3 linked regions of the Neodiprion lecontei genome follow. The protein of the gene in region 1 purifies or fractionates together with the protein of each later gene. This does not show direct contact. Links are inferred from orthologs where the notes say so. Each region holds a gene or a part of one and is shown in the gene's direction. Other genes may lie near its edges. The genes, in order: intraflagellar transport protein 88 homolog, intraflagellar transport protein 46 homolog and intraflagellar transport protein 57 homolog.

Evidence for each region.
Region 2: the proteins of intraflagellar transport protein 88 homolog (region 1) and intraflagellar transport protein 46 homolog purify together in Homo sapiens (affinity purification with mass spectrometry; 3 studies listed by BioGRID and IntAct, with this or other methods). This does not show direct contact. The link is inferred for Neodiprion lecontei from reciprocal best matches to the Homo sapiens genes IFT88 and IFT46.
Region 3: the proteins of intraflagellar transport protein 88 homolog (region 1) and intraflagellar transport protein 57 homolog purify together in Homo sapiens (affinity purification with mass spectrometry; 3 studies listed by BioGRID and IntAct, counting the BioPlex papers as one, with this or other methods). This does not show direct contact. The link is inferred for Neodiprion lecontei from reciprocal best matches to the Homo sapiens genes IFT88 and IFT57.

The regions. Positions count from the first base shown.
Region 1 is NC_060260.1:5,205,525-5,210,375, reverse strand, and holds the start of intraflagellar transport protein 88 homolog, read left to right. Parts: upstream 1-1,715; 5' UTR 1,716-1,753; exon of another isoform or gene 1,754-2,217; coding exon of another isoform or gene 2,218-2,777; intron 2,778-3,308; coding exon of another isoform or gene 3,309-3,504; intron 3,505-3,627; exon of another isoform or gene 3,628-3,711; intron 3,712-4,010; exon of another isoform or gene 4,011-4,540; 5' UTR 4,541-4,644; coding exon 4,645-4,779; intron 4,780-4,851. Other genes in the region: eukaryotic translation initiation factor 1A, X-chromosomal, read right to left, coding at 143-226, 489-504; uncharacterized protein LOC124295468, read right to left, coding at 2,218-2,777, 3,309-3,504. UniProt on the Homo sapiens protein: Positively regulates primary cilium biogenesis. Also involved in autophagy since it is required for trafficking of ATG16L and the expansion of the autophagic compartment.
Region 2 is NC_060263.1:22,367,979-22,372,760, forward strand, and holds intraflagellar transport protein 46 homolog, read left to right. Parts: upstream 1-1,919; 5' UTR 1,920-2,476; coding exon 2,477-2,700; intron 2,701-2,899; exon of another isoform or gene 2,900-2,996; coding exon 2,997-3,203; exon of another isoform or gene 3,204-3,248; intron 3,249-3,444; coding exon 3,445-4,012; 3' UTR 4,013-4,280; downstream 4,281-4,782. UniProt on the Homo sapiens protein: Forms part of a complex involved in intraflagellar transport (IFT), the bi-directional movement of particles required for the assembly, maintenance and functioning of primary cilia. May play a role in chondrocyte maturation and skeletogenesis.
Region 3 is NC_060262.1:42,131,534-42,136,707, reverse strand, and holds intraflagellar transport protein 57 homolog, read left to right. Parts: upstream 1-1,574; 5' UTR 1,575-1,874; coding exon 1,875-2,032; intron 2,033-2,108; coding exon 2,109-2,390; intron 2,391-2,704; coding exon 2,705-2,873; intron 2,874-3,074; coding exon 3,075-3,183; intron 3,184-3,332; coding exon 3,333-3,529; intron 3,530-3,642; coding exon 3,643-3,787; intron 3,788-3,886; coding exon 3,887-4,053; 3' UTR 4,054-4,591; downstream 4,592-5,174. UniProt on the Homo sapiens protein: Required for the formation of cilia. Plays an indirect role in sonic hedgehog signaling, cilia being required for all activity of the hedgehog pathway.

The DNA.
Region 1 (4,851 bases):
TTTGAGTCACCGATCAATTTGTCTTGTAAAATGTCGAAACATAAGTTGAAGAATAATAATATATCGGATAGATTAGCTTGCTTGCAAAAGTAAATAGGCCTGTGTCATAAGGCATATCATGAACGTGCGTGTTTTTACTTACCTTGGCCATCTTCCTTGAATACCAGCTCTCTCTTTTCAGTTTCATTCTCGTTCTTACCTCTTCTCCTGTTTTTACCTCCCTTTCCTAATAACACAAACACGGAATATATCACTCATCACGAGCGTCATTGTCGATGACGACATTAGAGGAGAAAAAATTATGCATTTTTTTTTTTATCAAGGTGCATCGACTATTTTTAACGCCAGAATGACACTGGCAGGTTATATACCAAACTTAACCACATTGTTCGATAAATCGTGCCAGTCATTCGATTTTGATGGAAGGTTAATTTATGGGTTCTTCGACTTCAAATGATTTTTAAAAACTTGCTAATACTCTGACTTACCTTTATTCTTCGGCATATTTTAGTTATTAACTCCAATTAGATGATGAATAAACAAGTATGTTCAACTTTAATGAAAATGAAAAGAGCACTGCATCACCATGCCAAACCCGCAGAAGAAAGAGGACTACTCTATGCTCAAATCAGCTATGAATATCGTCCAAAATAGCAACCTTTTATTGCCGAATAAACTTCTCGAATACCAATCATACGATAATTTGCTAAATATGAATTTAATTGTTTTCCCCGCTTCGTATGTCTTCAAAACATAATCGAAAATTTGTTTATCATTTTGTCATTTGACTTGGTTCATGCAGGAGAGGGAAATTCGAAATTCATTCAAGTTTTTATTCTTTCGTCAGTATTTTTTTTTATTGGTATAAAATTAAAAGATATGTGAAAATATTGACTACCGCAATTACTCTCATTATTATCGTATGATTTATTCCATATTTATTTACTTTCTTCGCTTTTAGTCACGGAAATAGGCTACGGTAAAATCATGCGAGTTGGGTCTCTCTGTCACATTCATGCCATTTTGTCCAATGGTATTTCTTTCGGGATGCGTGGCGTCTCCTTGCGGTTATGTTGATACCTATGTGAAGTTGGCGTCCGACCTTCGAATTTCTTGAAAATTTTAATGCCAAAATATTGCTTTCTGATTGCTCATAATTACAGTCAAACTTGTATTACTTGCTCGAACATGATTTTCGAATAAATATATATATAAAAAAAAAAAAATGCATTTCCGGGAACGGAATTGAATTCAGGAGTGGAACGTGATTTTTATAAAGAAATTATATATGATCGTGGACCGTCTTGTAACGTTCACTTACAAAAATATAATACTGATGTTTTTGTATTATTATCATGCAACGCATTGGTTGTATAGTGAGGCCTAATGGCGTACAACGCAACATGTTTAATATGACACGATTTATTGATGAATACTTTTTTACAGAAAAGTCTTAGAATTTAAATCGACTTGCTTATAATATAAAACTTTTGCAAAGAAATTTTGTGTTGTGATGATAATGAACAGAGTATAAATGAGATAAATTAGTAAGGCATTGAAATTCAAATAAACTTAAGGAATTTAATTACATTTTCACAGTTTGATCGATTAGCCAAACAGTATAATTGTAAATCAAAATGTGGATGCTTACTCTTGTCATTATTATAAAAAATAAATTCATGCAATAAATAATTCTTGCGATAGTATAAAAAATAAATTCATGCGATAAATAATAAAAAATAAAAATAACGCAGTAAGTATTTAACATATTTTCTCTTTCATTTTTTTTTATTCAGCCTCTTGCCAATTTCTTTCTTTTAATTGATTCAATTTGCCAAACCTAGAGTGACAGTCTTCGAGTTGCATGTAAATGATGTCCCAGAAACATTGCAAGTCGTCATTGGTTACCAATTCTTCTTGCGAACCAGTTTCACATTTGGTTACGAGTTTTCGAAATAGTTTTACCTCTTTGTTGATCAACAGATTTGATCGACCAATTACGTGATTTATCATACATTGAGCATCTTCTGGGGTATCAGGTGCAGATGTTATCATCATCCAATCCCAACAGAGAGCTTTTAGTCTCATAACTTCTCCGTCTGTGACTTTTCTAAAATATAGTGGTGTTCGCTCTTCATTTTTTTCAAACGCTGCAGCAGTTAGTAATTCATCACGTTCAGATTGCATTAGCACAGTATCAGTCTTAGTGTTGGGTTGCTACAGCAGTTTTTGTCTTAAAGCTTTTTTCTTTCGAGCATAGAGAATACAAGGAGAGCAGAATTTAGGAGTAACCGTCGTGTAAAGATCTTTTTTCGGCTGTTTCAATGCTGCCTGATCAAGCAAATGCAGGGACGGTAAACAGGCCGGCGGTCTAAACGCATAATTTTCTGGTGCAAATGAACTGCCTGGAATATTTATTATTTCAATACTTTTTGAAGCTTTGTGTACGATCCCTTGGTCCAAAACTTTTGTGATTATTTTTTTATTCCTTAAAATAATAGTAGCATCAGGTGAACGTGCCTTCATACAAGCTTCCGATGCCAGCCTTTTTGCAGTGGCTCTAGTGATTCTGGGTGACATCGTTGACTTGATAGGTTTAAATGCTGACAGACTTTGGTGTAGGAACATAGAGGAATTTAGTTTATCGTGACAAACTCCAACACACAATACTGGTGGTTTCATTGCTTTTTGAATTTTTTTTTGCAAATCTCTTTTTACCCTCCATCTCAACAATTTCATTCGTCTATCTTCTTGGACGATTTGATTTTTAGGTCCATCTGTGAAAATTTTTTATTCCATTGATGGTAAAATCTTGCCAATGTGTTAGTAGGATTTCAAGATAAAATTATTTTTTGATAAGAAAATTTCAATACAAAATCGTAAGTACATCAAACTAAGTGATATTCTGAAAAATGAAAAAACAGTGCAAACCCCTAGGTCTAAATTTTCTACCTCTGCCCATGATTATACCGAGTTGTACTCAGAATTATACCATGGACATTAGTGGTGACGGTGGGCTAAGTTGAGTACTTGTATCAAATGTAATGCTTTTATTTCTGTATAATATTTCTGTCAGCTGACTGTTCGTAAAAAAGGTCCCGCTATGCTTGTAGTATTATGCTATTTGTTTCCTTTACATGGTTGAACTAAAAGGGTAGCTGCGAGAGATCAATAGTTATTAATTCAAGCGAGACAATGGTAATAAAACGGTAATAAACAGTGATAACGGTTGATATTTTAGGAACAATGACGAGTTAGCTAACGAAAGAGAAAATGTTACCGAATAGAAAAATGTACTAGACTATTACCTTGTACGTTTTCCATGCGCCCGATGCTGGATGTAACCGGAGAACCTGCTCCGATGATTTTTCTATTAACATTATATGCGTCCAAACGCCTTAGTTTTCTTGCATTTTCTTTTTCAAAAGATTTTATAATTCTCGACTCTTCTAAATTGCCGAATCCAGCCGCTTTTTTCTTATAGTGTGTTCTAAGACCTGCCATATTCTCTGTTGCTCATGATCAGAAATAATGACTGACTACCGAGATAGTTGACTGCCTCTGATGGCCTGGTAAGAAGAAGGAAGAGATCTGTCCTGTGGTAAACACGACATCGAACATAACAAGGATTAAATACCACCTCGCTCGCATTCTAAGCACAAAACATATACCACATTCTGCAAATAATAACACGTTTCCAACAGAGCGATGGTAAGAGCTAATGTTGACAATTTTTCTCAAAGATGAACAATGAATCATTAGTAAATCATCTGTACTTTTTGGGTTGACATGCTTTTCACTTAATTAATAATAATAAAAATCGATCACGTGCACTTGTAATAATCTTCTTTTTTTATGTCGATCTTATAAAACGTTATAACTAGAACAAATTTGACAGTCAACAACAATAATAACAGAAGACTTTAATGGGACGTTATGTATAATTACGTCTGTTAAACGTTATAAATCAATGGATAATTAATGCTTAATCATTTATAATAATAAAGTTAAATAACTTATATATATATCTGTATATTCTTTAATTCATTCAACAAGTCCTAATACATTGCATAAATGACCTTCTTGTGATTTAATAATATCTCTAGAATGGTGATAGATACAGGAAAACTAATGAAATTTGGTAGGTTTCCTAAAGGCGAAATTAAATCGGGCAGGTAATTAGTCCATTATAAAGACTTCCCTGGATTTTTTTTTTAATTATAATCTAATTCTAATTTTCGAATGTCTAATATAATTTGAATGTGAGCGAGGTGGTATTTAATCCTTTGTTATTGTTAGATGTCGCGTTGATCGAGTGACAAATTGTAAACGCCAGCGGCCAGTTGCCAGTTGCCAGCGACGCGAGTGATGCTGTCAAATGTGAATTAGAAATTTACTGTGGCAAAATTGTTGTTTTAAAGTTTGATAATAATACGTCAACCGGTTAAAAATACTTTGTTTACGGGGTTGATAGGTGGATGGATTATCTTGCGAAGTTTTACGCGGTAAATCAACGTGAATTAATAACGCGATTAAATAGTTTTGCAGAGAGCTACGACCTAACCTCCAAAATCGAGGTAACTGCGGTTTGCAAGTGAAATACGCAACAGAGATAATCGGATTGTTCAAGAAGAACGGGCAGCAATGACGACGCTCATACATGACGATGATATTTATTCTGGATACAATGACTATCCTTCGTTATTCAGCACTAAGGATTTGGACCAGGATGAATTATATCAAGACGCGATTAAAGCCAGCTACGCAAAACGCCCCATTGTAAGATTTCAAACACGTCTTTAACCTAAGCAATACTCTAATGTAATAACGGCATCTGATACATTGTGAAGG
Region 2 (4,782 bases), on another chromosome or scaffold:
GAATACAGTATCGCGGTTATGTCCCGTCAACTATAGTGTTGTATGTATTATTTTAGTAAATGTTGGCAGACTATCGGTACATTAACATTTTGTAAAATAGATTAAAAACATCCTGTATGCCAATTAGCATTTTTCTAAGCGAGCTAAGCCTGCAGTTGATCAATATTTGTTGACTTTTAAAGGGTTGAAAATGATATATAATAATATAAGATGCAATTTCACTACGTTACGTTATGCCAGACTTTGGAATTTTATCGATTTATCAATATTGTGAATAATTGAATACGTTCAAACCTCAGGTGAACCCATCACTTAAACGACATCATCGGTAAATTCAAACGTAAATTATTACATCATTTGCGAAACACAATTCGATCTCGCGAGTGCCGAGTAAGCGATGGTTACCTGTCGCGATGCTCATTCCACTTTTCGCAACGTGCAAAATTTCTAACTTCGAGTAAGCTACGGTACATTAAATTGCGAAAAAAAATTATTGGACTGCAAGTGAAGCACGTTGTGATCGTGAATGAGCCTATCCATGCAGCTAAGAAATCGAAGATTTGTGTAACAATTGTTACCGCCACGCCACGTGACAGAGGAATCCCAGGGAAATACCCATAACCTAACACATGCAAACTCACCAACGTTGCCGAGAAAGGGAAAAGTTACTCGGAAGTCTCAGGCTAAATCTGTGAAAAACAAAATATAACACTTGAATTAATTGAGGAAATTGGCTTTTCAGACTTCAAATTAATTATTACTGTTGTCTAGTTTCATATTTATGCATTGCATGTTATACAAGAACAAAAGTTCGGCACTAAATTCACCACCTTGAATTATCAATCAATAATTAAAATAAGTATTGTTACCTCGACTCTGGGCTGCTCGACACTACATGTAGTAGTTGTTGTAGCATCTCAGGTTTATTGGTGAAGCGACGCACTTGTCACGTCATTTAGATCTTCACTCATCACTTGTAATCCAAAAATCCGCACTGCAATAATACTTGATTCTACACTCACTTTTTGTACTGTTGCTGTCTGTTTCGACCGACTGAATAAACTTGCTAACAATGCAACTGCGCATTTGCCGAAAATCGGCCAAAGAAATAATAAAATTGACACACGACTCATCGAAAAAAAAGTAGACTTCACTGAAATCTAAAGTTATACAAAACAATGAAAACACGAGACACGAAACACACTGATCGAACAACGCGACACAACTTGATCAACACGGTTTTAATGTTGAGCTGATACCGGTAGCCCGTGATTTCGTCCCGATTGCTCGGAAACGACTGATGCCGCATGGCGCTCAGAAGAGTCTTGTATCAATTCTCTGAGTGACGGAAGATAATAATTCTCCCTCCCTCTTTGTTACTCTTCCCATGGAGTGGGGGTTGATTGAGTTGAATCGCGAATATCTCGAGAACGGTGATAGATACGGCAAAACAAACGAAATTTTGGAGGTCACCTGAAGGCGAAATGACGTACCTGTCTGTGTCAGGACGTACCATCCTGATTCTCATCCAGACCTGTTCGCGTTCTGAGAAATGTTCTGCAAACTCAGCGATGCCGGAACGGCGGGCCGCGAATCTTGCGTCGCAAAAAATCGCGGACCCAGTTCGGAACCTAGAAGCCTGACAATAATGTGGAATGATAACTGATGATAAATAAAACCGTCTGTACGAGGTTGAGATTATCGAACGATGAGAATGAATATTTGCTGTTGGACTGTTGAGATTGCGAACTTTTTTCCGCTGCCAAACCGTTCATCGTGCTTTTATGGTCGATTCTTGGGGCGAAATATTTACCGCCAGATCAGAATTGAATGACACTTTCCGACGTAGCTTCTTGTTTTGTACCCGTTTTTCAGTTCCTCTACGTGGCGCTAGTAGACTTCTGACACGCTCACCAGAGATGAGTAGGGAGATCTCTAACGCTCGGCTTTTCGTGATACCAGCTAGGTTGGAGCGTCGACGCGACATCTAGGCGGCCATGCACCGAAGGCGGCCCACAATCGTGTGCCAGGCATGAAATTAGGCGCGCTCGCAGAGTATATATAGATATACTCGGTCGATCGAGCAAGTGGTTGCCAATCGCATCCTTGTCCCCGCTGGCACCGATGTTTCCAGGAGTGCAAGAATTGGGATTGTTTTTGTTTCAATTATGAATGTCAGCGAATAAAAGTATCTCCAGATTTGATAAATTTTGGATTCAATTAGCGGACGCTGAACCAAAATAATTAACCATTCCCAGCCCGAATACATTTTTTTTTTTTTCGATCAAATGTCTGGAGGATAGCAGAGAACTAGAACACCATGGCAACGTTTGTAAACAACATACCACAATATCTACCAGTGGCAGTTGGTTGCTCCGTGGCTGATCCTTACCCTCCGCTGTCAGCCGTTTAGAATAAGCACATCCACAGGAGTATCGCGTATCATTTATTTTCCAGCCCACTAACCGAACAAACAATGGACATTAAGGATAGCAGTGAGGACGAAGAAGCACAAAATATATCTGCATTTAGCCAATTTGATGAAAGTATAGAGGTACGCAACGCCGAAGAAATCAAGAGCCCTGTGAACACAGCTATGTCGACATTGAAACGAAGTCCAAAAAATACCGGTAGCCACAGCTCATTGAAGATTGGGGTTGGAAGTCTACGAGGCAATCTCAGTCCCCCACAGCCTTCAAGGTATTTTAATCTTATCCATGCTCTGTGGGTTTTTGTAATCAACGCGACATCTGTAATCACCACTTATCAACTGTCCCAAGGGTGGAAAACTTTCGTGCTTTAGTTTATTAAAGTTGAATCCAGTCTTCTTTTGTTTTCAAAGATAGATTTGAAACACCGTAAATGTTTGAAAGATTAAAGTAAGAATAATATTTATACATTCCTTTGGCATCTTATTTAATTTTTGTGTCGGTAGACGGTTAAGTACATTAAAATCCTATAAGCATATATGGAATATTCAAAAATTGTTCCACTAGATATTCGAACAAGCTTACGGACCACGTTGAACCCACATCGTTTGGCAAGTCAAGCGCACTCATGAATGATGCTTCTGATAGTGAAGAGACGGATGACGATGATATACAAGGTGGAACAACCAAAGGTTTTGAAACTTATGATCCAAAGGAATTTGAAGATCTTCACGTATCAGCTGAAATCAAAGAACTTTTCGAGAATATCACAAGGTGAGTTGGTCAGGTTTTTGCCTTTCTATGTTTTTCAGTGGGCATCTGTAAAAAAAGAAATGCCAAATATTTCCTTGTACTGAAATAACGTACTTAGGATAACATTATTATTCGTTTCCAAGAGGTAGCATGAACGAGATCTATTTGCGGAACCTCTTGAATGTATAATTTTTAACTTTTCGTCTTTTGACGAGCCATTGTGTCGAACATCTATTAACAACTACTTGTATTTTATGTACAGATTCTCACCGCAGAAAATTGACCTTGACTACAAGCTCATTCCGTTCGTGCCCGACTACATTCCAGCAGTCGGCGATATTGATGCTTTCATTAAAGTTCCGAAACCCGATGGTACCGCTGATAAAGTAGGGCTAGTCGTTCTGGATGAGCCCTGCGCCAATCAATCGGAGCCTGCCGTTCTGCATTTGCAATTGCGAAGTCATAGTACAAGTTCAGGACCTGTGAAACAGGCAGTGATCAAGCGCATTGACGATCCGGAAAAAAATTCCAAGTCTATTGAAAAGTGGATTAACGATATGAACCAGTTGCACACAAATAGGCACCCGCTTACAGTACATCTCTCAAAACCAACAGTTGACATTGATACGCTCATGCAACAATGGTCTGCAGACGTAGACGAACGATTGGAAAATACTTCGGTTGAATTGTCACAGCTAGATTGTGACTTGCCCCGTCTCGTCGACATTGCTTGTACCCTCGTCGATATTCCAGTCTACCCAGATGCCAGAATGGAAGCACTGCACACGATGTTTACCTTGTTTTTAGAAATTAGAGATCATCAATATTAATTCTATCGCAGTAGACATTGAATAATAGTAATAATTTCTAAAATTAGATTTTTTTTTTTGTTTCAGATCACTCTAATCCTTTGTTGCACAGTGGTACGTACGTACAACCTATATTCCATGGCTCTGGCGTTGCCTAAGCTCCTTGTAACGTCATTTATGGGTGAAACTTACTTTCTATACGTTGTTAGGGGACTTAAAAATGCATGTGTAACATCAATAAATAATCATTTAGGATGTAAAGACAAATAAATACGATTTTGAAAATTTACATCATTCTCATAATATTTCTAAAGGTTAATTATCATAATTGATTCTTATATATAATATATATAATGAGAAAAAAGAAGACGATTAAGTTTTCTCGTTTTTTGATGAAACTTATTCAAGCGTCGATGCATTTTGAACTTCCAATTGGTCCATTTGGCTACCTCAATACTTCAGCAGCCGATCCTCGCAAGTAGCCTGTACCACATTCCGGAATAGGATGTCATCATCATACAGCATTTTCACTACCCAAGCTGACAAGACAACGCTGCACGTACCATTCTCATCTACAGCCACTGGTTGTCCGAATCGCGTCTCCATCCTCCGGATGCTTGTCATCTGATAATTTTTGTAGACCTTCAGGTCCATTTGGACGCAGATTTCTCGACGCGAAGTCAAAAAACTTGTCAGCCTAAATTCCGAGAAATCGCTCAGGGTGGTTGCAAGCTTTCCAACGTCTTACCTCGCCTTGAAACCTCTCGATCATTAGTCATCAGAGGGATGGA
Region 3 (5,174 bases), on another chromosome or scaffold:
GTTTTAATGCAAAAGGCTAAAGGATTTTACCGCGAGACTGTACCGGAACTAGATGACGAATCTGGAGGTAGAAACACAAGAGAGCGATCGAGTGATCGGTCGCCGTTTTTATAGGGGTCGATCGTTGCGCAGAACGATCCCCCTCTCTAGTTTTTTGGTCGCCTTTGCGCACCTCCCCTCTTTTCTAGGAATTCTAATTAGGGCACGACATCTTCGCCGCATGCACGCCTGTGATCTTATTTCTTTAGCTATTACTATATTGTAGGTTTTTACGTATGGTATATCGCTGCTTGGTGCGGTGGTGTAGGTGCGTGGACTTGGTTCCGTAGTTCTCCGAACTGCGTGAGCTTTTCGTTGTGTCGCCAGTCCCCCTTTGTGGCGCCAGCCCCCTTTGTGGCGCCAGCCCCCTTTCTGGCGCCCCTCAGCCACTTAACTACCTGTCTATCTCTTACTGTTTTTGCTATCTTGCTCGTTACAAAGCCCATATTTCATTTTGGTTACCTGTCGTTTGTTAGTTTATTAGTTATATCTATATAGAATTGTATATGTATTATAGTCGACTACTGTCGTTGTTAGTTTTATAGTTGTATCTATATAGAATTGCATATGTATTAAAGTCGACTACTGTCGTTGTTAACCTGGAGTGCAATAGCAATTGTTTATGAACATAGTTTGTTATTTGTTTAACATTATTAGAATCACGCTGCTGCGAATATCTTTAGTTGTTTGTGTTATAACTATCTTAACAGGTTTAGAATACCTAGTAATTTGATGATTCATAGCTTTAGAGCAGGTTTACATGTGTGCTTTTGTATATGATTCCCTTCTGTAGTTGTTAATTCTTATATTGATATAAATCGGCTTGGAAGCTTCTAGAACGTTTTCGTTTCGTCGGTAAGTTTCCTAATGTATTCTCTAGGTAAGGCTCTGTATGGCTCCACATTGGAGATCTGCATTGCCTTCAAAACGTTGCGCGTGTTGCCTACAATACGGCGTTGCGGAAGAAGGTATAGTTCATGCTGGGTAATTAGCATTCACGGTTTGATGGTTTTGCAGTCTCTGGTTTTATGGGTTATTGCAGCAGTGCTATCTTTACATTATATTGGTTATGCATTTATCTATGGTTTTACAGTCTTCTATACTCCAGGCTATATAGTAAAGCGTATGTTGCTTAAGTATAGCTCTCAGCTCCGAATGCACAAATGGCATTGCTGAGTGCTATATAATAATTGGGTATAATTGTGTTAGTTAATTATAGTGTTAATGTGATAGTGATATATAATAACGTATAATAATATTATAGTTCTCTGTAGTACGAAGATCTCGTAACATGGTTTGTAAGCCTTGGCTAGTGAATTTCATAGTTATTTCCATCTAGGGGTATTCCAAATAGTTAGACAGTTGTTTTAATTTCTTATGGTTACAAGATTCTCGTACTTCGAGTTTGGTTAGTTGATAAAAGTAACATGCAGTAATAATAATCGATAAAACATACGGACGTTCCGGTCGGACGTTACACATGGAGTCTTAGCTTTCCTCTCTTTCGCACTCGGGGACACTTTCCATGCTTTTTCCGCTGCCAAGCTTTCTCCATGGTGTATGCTCTAAGCAATCGTACGCGCTCCACTGTCAGTGATATTTTGTGTGGTAAGCGTGAAACCGACAAATCCGACAGAAAGGAGTCTTACCGACGCGGATTACGTTGCGAACTTCATTATCTTCATGCTAAAGAGAGCCACCGAAGTTGCGATCCCGATCCTCAAATGACGCGAGTTTGTTTACTTGTCATACATTTACTGACAGCCAGATAAAGCCACGGACTTGGTTAAAGCAAAACGATCAGGAACGTCCGCATATTTTGATAACAGGTGAAAATGTTTCGGGAAACACCAAAGATCGTAATTGAAGATGCGACGGCGCCTAGCGCAGCTTACGCGCCCAGCGTACGCATGGAGGATTTAATTGATAAGTTGAAAATCCTCAATTACGACACTGAATTCGTACAAAATATGAAAATGAAACCTATAAACAGGTACGGTCTTCTTACTAACTAGGATCCTACTCATTTGCCTGCGTAATTTTTTCACCATGCGATATTAATTCAACAGGCATTACTTTGTTGTTGCGACCAATTCGGGGGAGCAGTTTTACATGTTTACTTCGCTTGCTGCCTGGTTGATAAGGAAAAGTGGAACGAGTTTTGAACAGCCGCAGGAATACGATGATCCAAACTCAACTATATCCATGATTCTCGATCACCTCAGAGCTATCGACGTTGCCGTCGAATTTCCTCCAAACAAATTAAAGCAGGGCGCTGGCGAGCATGCTATTTATGTATTGGACTGCCTCGCTGATCAGGCTATCAGAATTGTCAATTTCAAATGGAAAAAGTAAGCAGGAATGATATGAACAGGCTTGAATTATACCTACATTATTATTTCAAAGGGCATTGTTAATGTTTGATTCATGGTCTTAATCATTTTGTATTTGGGTGCTCTAGTTTAAAATCAAACCTGCAAAGATCTGCCTTTCGTTTTGTAATTTTCAGATTTCACAAATACGTTAAATTATATGCTTCCATTTATTCTATGTAATGTTATCACGAATGATAGTCAACATGCCAAATCGAAAGCCCAAAGTGGTTTCCCTTGAAACACTACGGATGAAAGTAGATCGCATATTTCAAGTGTCTTTATTGATGCAGAGTTGAAATACCCCCAGAAGATCCTACACCGGAACCTGAGATAGAAGATGACGATGCGGAGTTGATACTGGAAAAAGTTGAGGAGGAAATGTTGGCTGAGTATGAGGAGGAGGACGAGGATGACGTTTTACATGTAGATGACATAACTAAATTATATGGACAAAATATGGTAATTAGTAAACTAATTCAGACTTTGACAAATTTTTATTTGTACATTAGCGTCAATTTAGATGGTCGACAGAAAAACTGTAAATGCATTCTGTTACCTCTCAAATGATTTCACCGAAAATGCTATGATTAAAAAAAAATAAAAGTGCATGGAAAATTGAATGCAAAAAAATCCTAATTTTTTTAATACAATATTTTGTAGCTTGACATTCAGAAGCCGGAGAATATCCTTGAGTCTAAAACAGACATGGAAGAATGGAAACTCGAATTAGAGAGAGTCTTACCTCAGCTGAAGGTAACTGTAAAAACTGGTAAGTATTCAAATAATTGATTGATTGATTTCATGTATAGCGACGTGGTTTTTCTCAAAACCTTTCCTGGTTGTTAAACGTTTTTTATTTCAATTTCTGTATCAGAAATATATAAAACTTTCGTAATAAAAAAAGTTCATCATCTACAGATTCCCGAGACTGGAGAGCTCACTTGGATCAAATGAAACAACATCGGTCAAACATTTATGCGAATCTTGGCAATACAAAGAGCCAATTAGAGAGGTTGCATTCCGACATAGCAAGTACGTTGGATAAGATAAAAACACGAGAAATGTATGTAAACAGACAACTGGAGCCTGTCCTAAACGAATTTCAAACATTGCAAGTAAGCAAATGGATTTACTGTGATCTAAGACAATGTGATAAAGTTCACACAAGCCATAAAGACTACAGAGGTATTTACTGAATTTCATCATTTGGCATTGTCTCTGTGATCAGGAGGAAATGTCGAAAGTGAAGGAACAGTACAGAGACGTCAGTGGTGGAGTGACTGAGAGAACGAGAACTCTAAATAAATTAACTGACGAATTAGAGCAAGTTAAGCGAGAAATGGATGAGAGAGGATCAAGCATGACAGATGGAAGTAAGTAACAATTGCAGTTCAATACTAAACAATTTGAATTAGTTAATTATGGATCGTTGAGTGTGGATGTAAAAAAATTTTTCAACTTTCTTCCTGCAGCTCCCTTGATAAATATCAAAAAAACGATTACAAAAATGAAGAACGAAATCTCGGAGATGAACGTCAGAATCGGTGTTCTTGAATACAGCTTGATGTGCACCAGAGTTCGTGATCGTACTCAACTTCAGGAAGATATGAACAGTACAAGCAGCTCGTTGATGATTTGAGGAAAATTCAAGGTCATAGATACCTAAAGTTCGTGCATATTTTTCGTGTGCGACTGAAAGATTTGCGGGGGAACTTTTCTATCCGATCAGTTAATATTACTGTCTTTGGATTATTACCTAGGTTTTTCATACTTGGTATTAGAAATGGAAGTACTACAAACAGCATATCTGCATATTATTCATTTTCTCTTATTGAGTATTTAGTTTCGTTCCATAATATGTCTGAAGAAAATTTTTTCGGTAGCTGAATCTCTGGGTGAAAAAGAACGGAAAACAAATTGATCATAGCCACTATTAATTAATCCGAAAGACGTTTCCTTGACGCTATCATAGTGCCTTGTTCACCACCGTTATCAGTACCTGAGATCCCACCGAAATAGTTGATAAGCTATAACTATAAACGGAAACTACAACCGTGTCTAGGTAAAGATCATTGCACGGTTAGTAATAAGACACATCGCAACTTATAAACTAGTCAGCATAAATTGTTATCATTCCTTTGACATAAATGTATTTATTAAATTAATGATTCTCAGTCTTTCGCCGCTCATATTTTACATAAAAGTTATACGATAACCGATCACTTGTAGGAGTTATGAACGAAGTTTTTGCTGTGAAACACTATAGCCATGCATCAAGCATCGAAACTAGGTTTGTAAATTAAATTATGACAAAGTTCCGAACTCGCAGTTTTAAATTTAGTTATAAATCTATGATTACCTATCTTTTACCAAATTTTATTCCGTTGCGTCTAGTAGCAGTGGATAGAATATACTAAAATTTTGATGAAACTAGTGCTTAAAAGTCAATTTCTACGCACTAGTGTTTTACGCTCGTCAAGACATCCTTATTTTATGCGCACTTGTCACAAAAATTATTAGTTTTCGTATTTAGAGTGTAACTATTTAGAAGATACCAAACCCTAAACAGCTTCCGATACTGTGTAATAGCCATAATTCCTGCAAAACTTTGTATTTTAAAAAAGTTCTTTACGTTTTTTGTAAATCGCCATATTAACACATTCGTAACTGGGCATTCATTTTCTTTGTTTTCTCTGTTTTTTTTTTTTCACTCATAGTTCTGATTGAATTATTGTTTTTTTTTCTGCAGTCTCTTGGGTT